Linked DNA regions of Drosophila melanogaster. Changing the gene in region 1 together with any one later gene gives a genetic interaction. Each region holds a gene or a part of one and is shown in the gene's direction. Other genes may lie near its edges.

The links. Genes that interact genetically often act in the same process or in processes that back each other up.
Region 2: of Su(fu) (region 1) and Gmap, changing one enhances a phenotype caused by changing the other (phenotypic enhancement), as found in Drosophila melanogaster (one study listed by BioGRID).

The regions. Positions count from the first base shown.
Region 1 is NT_033777.3:12,689,369-12,693,188, reverse strand, and holds Su(fu) (suppressor of fused), read left to right. Parts: upstream 1-1,720; 5' UTR 1,721-1,750; coding exon 1,751-3,157; 3' UTR 3,158-3,316; downstream 3,317-3,820. Other genes in the region: CG31347 (uncharacterized protein), read left to right, coding at 639-1,070; Arp1 (Actin-related protein 1), read right to left, coding at 34-185, 245-419, 482-546, 1,320-1,367.
Region 2 is NC_004354.4:15,485,245-15,489,940, forward strand, and holds the start of Gmap (golgi microtubule-associated protein), read left to right. Parts: upstream 1-1,677; 5' UTR 1,678-1,997; coding exon 1,998-2,231; intron 2,232-2,296; coding exon 2,297-2,389; intron 2,390-4,636; exon of another isoform or gene 4,637-4,696. Other genes in the region: CG6340 (uncharacterized protein), read left to right, coding at 1-24, 88-1,197.

The DNA.
Region 1 (3,820 bases):
GATAGGGGCAGTTCGTGAGATTGCAATGCTTACAGACTGAGCACCGCCTGCATGGACACAAAGAGCGCAGGTGCATTGATGCCTTCAAAGAAGAACTCGGCTGCCTTTTCGCGGTTTCGGCGCGGATTAAGCGGGGCCTCGGTCAGCAGCACGGGATGATCCTCCGTGAAGGTGGCCAGTTGTTCCTGGTCAATGCCATTTAAAACATTTAGTTAAGATTATGGAACATTTATGGACAAATTACTTTGCTGTAAATGTAGCTCCATATCCGCTCCATGTCATTCCAGTCGGTGACAATGCCGTGCTCCATGGGGTACCGGATGCTAAGCAGGCCACGGTGCTCCTCCGCCTTGGGTCCAACGAATATGTCGCCCTCCAGCGCACCAGCCATCACTCGGACATGCTTGGGCCGGCCAATGCTGCAGGAGAAGGCATTAGTTCTAGGGGTTCTTAAGGTTCGTGAGTGGTCCACGGCACTTACTAATTGGGAAACCTGCATTTTGGAATGTGCTCACCAGCAAAGCCGGCTTTGATCACACCGGAGCCCTGTCAAAAGTGATGTGGAATACATTTAGTTAGTTGCGTCAGCTTATTTTATTTAAAATTCAACGTGCAAACAGGAAATCTATATAGTCAACATGGAATCCTTTAGTGTGCCGGAAGTGGACATGATGACCGTGTCAAAGAATTCGCAATACGAACGGGAATCGCTACTAAAGTTCGCACCGCCAGTTGGACTGACCAACATCAGCTACGGCAGCTTGTACAAGGTGGACTCCTTCTATTTGGAGTGCCAGAAGTACCGAGATCAATTCCGCGATCCCTACAACAAGCTGCTGCGCCCCAAGATGTTCAGCACATACAGGGGCAAGTGTGGTGTGAAGATAGATCCCGAACTGGAGCGCTTAAAGCGACCCGCTGCCTCCCATGTGGAGTCTATTCCCGTGGTTTACCCAATGGAGTACGGGCACCAAATGGACTTCGACAGAGGCTTCCAGATGCAGGGACGCAACAGCAGGGATGCAGCCACCGCCCGCAGATATCCGTGTGTGCGTGTGCTGGGCAGATAAAGGGATTCCACGCAAGCTTTATAGACCAAATTCCCCGTTTTCGCTGTCTTCACTTCCGAATTGAACCATCTCTGGCGTTTGCGGAGCTATTCTCTCTGGGATTAGTCATGTTGGCCATTTGAAGACGGCTTGAAAGCTCGTTGACAAAGGGACGGGCGGTAGGTGATGTCACTGTTTGCTGGCTAAAACTTTGGGAACCCTAGATTTGCACAAAGCTACCCGCATTTAATGAGCCCCATCTCCACTTACGTTATCTATGACGACGGGCTGGTTGACGACGACATCATAAGGCTCCATTTTGTGCGTTTATCAAAATTTGCAAATTTTCTATTAAATAGTTGGTCAACAGGGTGACCGTAGGTGGTTGGCAGAAATAAACAGCATGTAAAAATATACCACGGCAAGAAATACTCAATATTTTACATGGTGGTGGTTTAAAGCTATATGGATATATATTTTCACTGTTTTTCTCTACATTTTAAAAATAAGCAGAAAAAAGTAAGAAAGTAATAATTATTATAAAAAAGGTTTTAAAAATAAATAATGGTTTTAAAAGAAACTCATGTAAGTTTCCATTGTCAAATCCGCACTTTACATGGCAGTATTTTTATTCATGGTATATTCAAGCGGTGGTATTCCGCAACGTTCCAACTGAGGTCATACTGATCAAACTGGATGAAATGGCCGAGGCGAATTTGGACAAAAAACCTGAGGTGAAGCCTCCGCCGGGCCTTAAGGCCATCATAGACCACCTCGGGCAGGTGTACCCCAACCAGCCGAACCCGCTGCAGGTGACCACACTGCTCAAGTACTGGCTGGGCGGTCAGGATCCGTTGGACTACATTAGCATGTACAACTATCCCGGAGATGTGGATAGGAACGTTCCGCCGCACTGGCACTACATTAGTTTCGGACTCAGCGACCTACACGGGGACGAGCGAGTCCACTTGCGCGAGGAGGGCGTCACTCGGTCTGGCATGGGGTTCGAGTTGACCTTTCGCTTGGCCAAAACAGAAATAGAGCTAAAGCAGCAGATTGAGAACCCGGAAAAGCCCCAAAGACCGCCCACCTGGCCGGCGAACCTGTTGCAGGCCATCGGACGCTATTGTTTTCAAACAGGCAACGGGTTGTGCTTCGGAGACAACATCCCGTGGCGCAAGAGTCTGGATGGCAGTACCACTTCCAAGCTACAGAACCTGCTCGTCGCCCAGGACCCGCAGTTGGGCTGCATCGACACTCCCACGGGCACGGTGGACTTCTGCCAGATCGTCGGCGTCTTTGACGACGAACTTGAGCAGGCATCGCGTTGGAACGGGCGCGGTGTGCTCAACTTCCTTCGCCAAGATATGCAAACTGGCGGTGATTGGCTGGTGACTAACATGGATCGCCAGATGAGCGTCTTCGAACTGTTTCCCGAAACGCTGCTAAACCTACAGGACGATCTGGAGAAGCAGGGTTCCGATCTGGCCGGCGTTAATGCAGATTTTACGTTCCGTGAGCTGAAACCTACCAAGGAGGTGAAGGAGGAGGTGGATTTCCAGGCGCTGAGCGAGAAGTGCGCCAACGACGAAAACAATCGGCAGCTGACGGATACGCAAATGAAACGCGAGGAACCAAGCTTTCCACAATCCATGTCGATGAGCAGCAATTCGCTGCACAAGTCCTGTCCCCTGGACTTTCAAGCGCAGGCACCAAACTGCATTTCACTGGACGGTATTGAGATTACCCTCGCACCTGGTGTGGCCAAGTACCTCCTACTGGCCATCAAGGATCGCATCCGACATGGGCGCCACTTCACCTTCAAGGCTCAGCATCTGGCGCTCACTTTGGTGGCGGAATCCGTCACCGGCTCGGCGGTGACAGTGAACGAACCGTACGGCGTGCTGGGCTACTGGATTCAGGTCCTGATTCCCGATGAACTGGTGCCGCGCCTGATGGAAGACTTCCGCAGCGCGGGCCTAGACGAGAAATGCGAGCCCAAGGAGCGACTGGAGCTCGAGTGGCCCGACAAGAATCTGAAGCTGATCATCGACCAGCCGGAACCTGTGCTGCCCATGTCGCTCGACGCTGCTCCTCTGAAAATGTGATGGTGTCCATTGGTTAGCTAGTAGTTATTTAAATTAATCGAATTGAATCTTCCACTAACGAGTAAGTTTTACATTTATACATCTCATCTAACACAATGCACGTGGCCTTTGCTCCTCGCCGGAGTCCAGTCAAAATATACAAACACATACATATACCCGAAACCACTCGACGGGCCTTTGATCGCAATATGAAAAGAGGAAGCGCCGGCGCCAGGAGCGGCGAACAATTCGCCGGATGAGTCAAGTTGGGGTCAGGCTATTGAGCACTGGAACAGTTCGCTTTGGTGGCTGCGGCGGATATGGCCACTTGCAGGCGGTGGAAGTCATCGCCACCGACTAACCACCAATTGATGGTATTGCGCAGTGGACCGCCGAATGCTTCAGTTTCTAATTCTGGGAATTGATCAATTAGAAGAGCATTCAATTTGAACACAAAATCCCGCCCGGGATCATGTGATTGCGCGAGGAACTGGACCTGGAGCAGCTGCATCATCAGCCTGGCTGATGGGAAACCCTTGACGCATCGCTTGTCTGAGCGTTGCCTAGGTGAATTTTTGTTTACCGCAGAGAACAGTTGCTCTGCTTCTCCGATTAGGCGCCCCTCATCAAGTGAGCGAGCGATTTTTCGCAAAAACAGCTCGTGGAAAATAATTCAGTTTTCTT
Region 2 (4,696 bases), on another chromosome or scaffold:
GGACGCGACAAGAATCACAGCAAGGTGAGACAGAGTCCTAATCAACTCAGCATAACTCAGCCAAACTAATGTCTGTGCTATTTACAGGGCGACCATCGCCACCATCGTACCAAAGACGGCGACAGCCACAGAGAGCGGGAGCGGGATCGTGACCGGGAGAGGGAGCGAGATCGCGACAAGGATCGGGACCGTAGGCGTTCGGAGAAGAGCAGTCGCCACCACAGTGGCAAGGAACGCCATCATCATCATCACAACAACTCATCGTCAGCCGCCGCTGCAGCGGTCAGTGCAGCATCAGTCCGTCGATCCCATGATGAACGCAGTCGTCGTCGCCGGGACTCTCGATCCGGTTCCCGCACACCAACGGGCACGCCGCCCTCTCGTCGCCGCCATCAGTCGCAACAGTCACGCAAATATCGCGAACGCGACTCCAGCAGCCGCTCCAGATCTCCGAAGGAAGAACAAGCCACAACACTTCGCGGTGGAGCTGTGGCCGGATCTCATATGCTGCTCGCTAAATCAGGCGGCGGAGCAGGATCAACGGCAACTAATGCAACAGCAGCGGCGAGGGTTGCAGCGGCCGCTCTGGTAGCTGCCAATGCAACAGCCGCAGCCATGGCAGCCGGTTCATCCGGCGGCGGTGGCGGCGGTCTCCTGCCCACGCCCAACTATGCGCCCAAGATACCCTCGCTGATGTCCTTGGAGCTGAGCACACCAGCGGCAGCAGCACCAGTCGCAGAACCCATCCAGCTGCCCAGTTACTACAATCCGAGCATCATCAATGCCAATCGCTATGCGGAGCAGCAGCAGAAGCGCAAGCTACTGTGGGGCTCCAAGAAGAGCGAGAACTCGGCGAACAAGTGGGGCAACGCGCACTTCTCCCAGGACTCCGACGGCAAGGTGGCCTCCAAGTTTATGCGGCTCATGGGTATCAAGAACGCTGGTACGTCCGGCAATGACGATGGCAAGGGCGGCCAGGCGGAGTCCACCAATGGAAGTGCAGCAGGCGAGGGAAACCGCGCAGTAAGAGGTGCTGCGCCATCGGGAGCCGCTGGCGGAACGAAAGTGCCCACGGACGTGCAGCAGCGCCAGCGCATGTTCTCCAACATGGAGCAGCAGTACGAGATGGCGCGAGCCGCCACACACACGATGCGTGGCGTGGGGCTTGGTTTCGGCTCCCAGCCACGTACTTTCTAGAAGGGATCGGAACGGAGGAGGATCGGCTCCCTGCCAGGCTGTAAATACCATGCCACTCACTCAACTCATTAGTCAGTCAATATGTTTCTCCTCAACAACTTTTTGTTTGTGTTGAGAAAATTTTTTGTTTTTTTGATTTCAAATAAACGTTGCAACAGAATTTATGAAGTGACGTGGCTCTCTCTTTGGATTTGCTTGGGATAAATGCGTCGTTAGGTAGACTTTTAGTCTACACTATTACTAAGTATGCTAAGAGTATCCAACTTTAACTACAAAGTTCAGCGGCTCTAATCGAAGAATGCTTGAATATTCAATAATAAATAAAGGTATTTTTTTTTACAATAAACAATTTTAAATTTTGGCACTCTGTTTAGTAGATGTCAGTTTTTTGCCATGCACCTTGGCGGTCGGTCTGCCTATCGCCAATCGATAGCTGACCAAAAACAATAACAATAACAAAATCAGCTGACGATAGGACGTCGGATATCGATACCATATCACAAACTAATAATAAAAATAATAATAAATAAGAGAATTAATACTACTAGAACACAAACAAAAGCATATAAAGCTTACACATCCTTTATTAAAACAAACAGCCAAATTGGATTTAAATTGTGGAACGAAGCAAACAGAACCGCTTGAGTTTGTGCCACTGCCACGCAAAAAAAATTATCGTTTCCAAAAAACTAAGCATACTTCATCCGAAATTAGCAATCAGCTAGCCAAAAGCGGAGTGATCTCGTCGAGAAGAGCCACGCCCCCTATCCGCCCACGCTGCCCAGAAGAGAGCAGCGAAGATGTCGTGGCTGAACAGCAGTCTCAGCCAGCTGAAGGGCCAACTAACCAATCTGGCGCAGGAAGTTCTGGCCGAAACGGCAGGACCCGGCGACTTGGAGTATGAGGGACATCAAGCAGGAGGTGCTAGCGTCCAAGACGCCGAGCAGCAGGCCAAGACAGCCCTGGAACTGCTGGCCGAAACCCAGGAGCAGAAGGAGCAGCTGGACAAGCGGTGCGAGGAGAAGGATCGTGAGGTAAAGCCAACTCACAGTCACTTTTGCGGCTTCTTCACCAATGGCCATCCGATTGCCCCTTTCAGATAGCCGCCCTGCGCCGAGAACTGGCCAAAAGCAAGCAGAAACAGGAATCCCAGCTGGCAGCCAGCACATCAGCTACGCGGGAACCGCAGTTGGTAAGTGACGTTTGATCCGAGGGACCTGCAGCTGGCCCCCATGTGGCCATGCCACATCCGGTGCCCACTCCGTCTTCCAGGAAACATTGCACTCCGGCGTGGAGTGGTGTTTGACCGGCTTTATCTTTCAAATAAGCGATAAGCCCAGCTCTCGCGCTCTCTGTTTCGCTTTTGGCCACATATCCCTGAATTAATATTTAAACTGCGATAAGCTAGGAGTCGGCACTACCCTAGTTTTATCTGCACTTCTCGCGTTTACCTGATGCCACATTGTATGCTTCACACGGAGAGAAAAATGGTTGCAGTGGCATATTGTTGTTTTCCGTGGCACGATTACAAAGCGCTAGAATTCACCGATTTCTGTTTTGCCAACAATTAAAGGGGGGTTTAAAATAAGCCAAGTTCTCGATTGCAAAGAATGTACTAATAGTATGGCAGGGTAAGCCATATTTCATTAGAGCGTCTTGAGCTTTCGGATTAGCAATCTAATGCTAAAAACGGTTTTATATTAACTTTCTCCTGGATAAATTTGAATTTGAATTTAAACTGATTTTTCATTTGACATCCATTCACCTTTTTCCCCGTGCAACTTCTATTTGATTTCACATTCGGTGGTGTTTGGTGTCTGCTATTTGCCTGGCTGTCATAAATCCCTGGTCTCCTTTTCGATCACCCCATATGCCTGTTAGCCTTATCTAGGCGTGCTGCTAACCCTATCGCTCCATAGCCCTCCGTTCGCCAACTGCTTGTTCAATTTACCGAATTATTTCTGATTAGGCAAGTTACTGCAGCGCAACCCCAAGTGTCTGATATTCCCGTTGAAAATGCAGGGTGACGGGGTTGCATTTGGAGCCATTTGGTTTGGTCACTGGGGCGATGGAGATCTTTCTGAAGCACAACTGTACCAGATTTTCCATAGTCACCTTAAATATAAAAAATATGGCTTTTCACATTGTAGATCTAGTTTTAAAATACTAAATGACATGCATATATAACCATAGCGTTAGATGTTATATTTTTTTCGAAATGATTGAATTACTCTTTGGCAATTTTATTAGAATCGTAGATACTTTATTTAATTCTTAAAATAATGAACCATTGTATTATGATCTAAAGTTCAAATCGATCGCATTGCCAGTAGGTAAAAAATTAGAAATCCCAAAGACTTTACAATATGGATTACGAGTATACTTTCAAACTGCCTGCTTTTTGAAATTTACGGTTCTTTTAATATAATATAAAGTTTTGTAGTTTTTTGTTCATTAAAAATGCTTTTAAAATTGATTGTTTAAAAAACATCAAAATATTTTAATCAATTTATAATCAAATACAATATGATATATATTTATGTTAATTTAACGTGCCATTATGATTTGCCAGATTTTTATTTGCTCTAAATCCGGTTTTGGTTGCAGCTTAAATTGGCAAATTGATCTTTCTAGTTTCGGCCATCATTACTCATGTTTTATATTTGTTTCTGATTAGCTAATCGATTGTGTAAAAATGAGTTCCTATCAAACATGCGAAGCATAAATTATGAGGGAAAATTGCATCATTTAGTACGAATATTCAGAGATAAACCATAAATACTCATTCCTTATCGGAGCTGGCGAAATCTGAACAGTAAGCAGTTGGAAAATCGATACGGATATCTGATACATATATATAATTCTTTCATGTAAGCGATTTTGATCTATTCTTTTAATTTAATGTCGATAGATGAATGGTTGCTCTAGTCAGCTAATTCAAATCTTGATCTTCTTGAGTAAGATATGACTTAATCGGCTCAAACTTTCATCATTTCATCATTTGATTTCTATATATGTGGATATATGTTTTCCCAGATTTTTCCTTCTGGGCTATCTCGCATGTACTATCTAAAGATAGCCATATCTTTTGGATCGATAGTTGGGTCACCATATTGTTTTGCATAATTGCGCCAGGCGACCGGCGATAAGTGTGCCCTCGTCCCCATCTCCATCCCCATTCCCATTCCCATTCCCATTTTCATTCACATCCCTCATGGCCCACCTCCACTGCCACTACCAACTCCTACTCCTCCTTCGTGAATATGGCAATCTGCTCCTGCCAACCATTATCATCCCCATTAGGCGGGCATTTGGGACATCTGCATGGCACCATGCTCGGGTTATCTTATCCGGGCCAAGCTGGCCAGGATCGAGGGGGTTGGTTGGCTGGATTGCCTGGATCCGGGGGCCTATAAAAGCCCGGTTCACCTGCTGGCTGGCATTCATTCGGTTCCGTGTGATCGATTCACGTAGGCCCGCATAAAGTGTTAATTTCTAC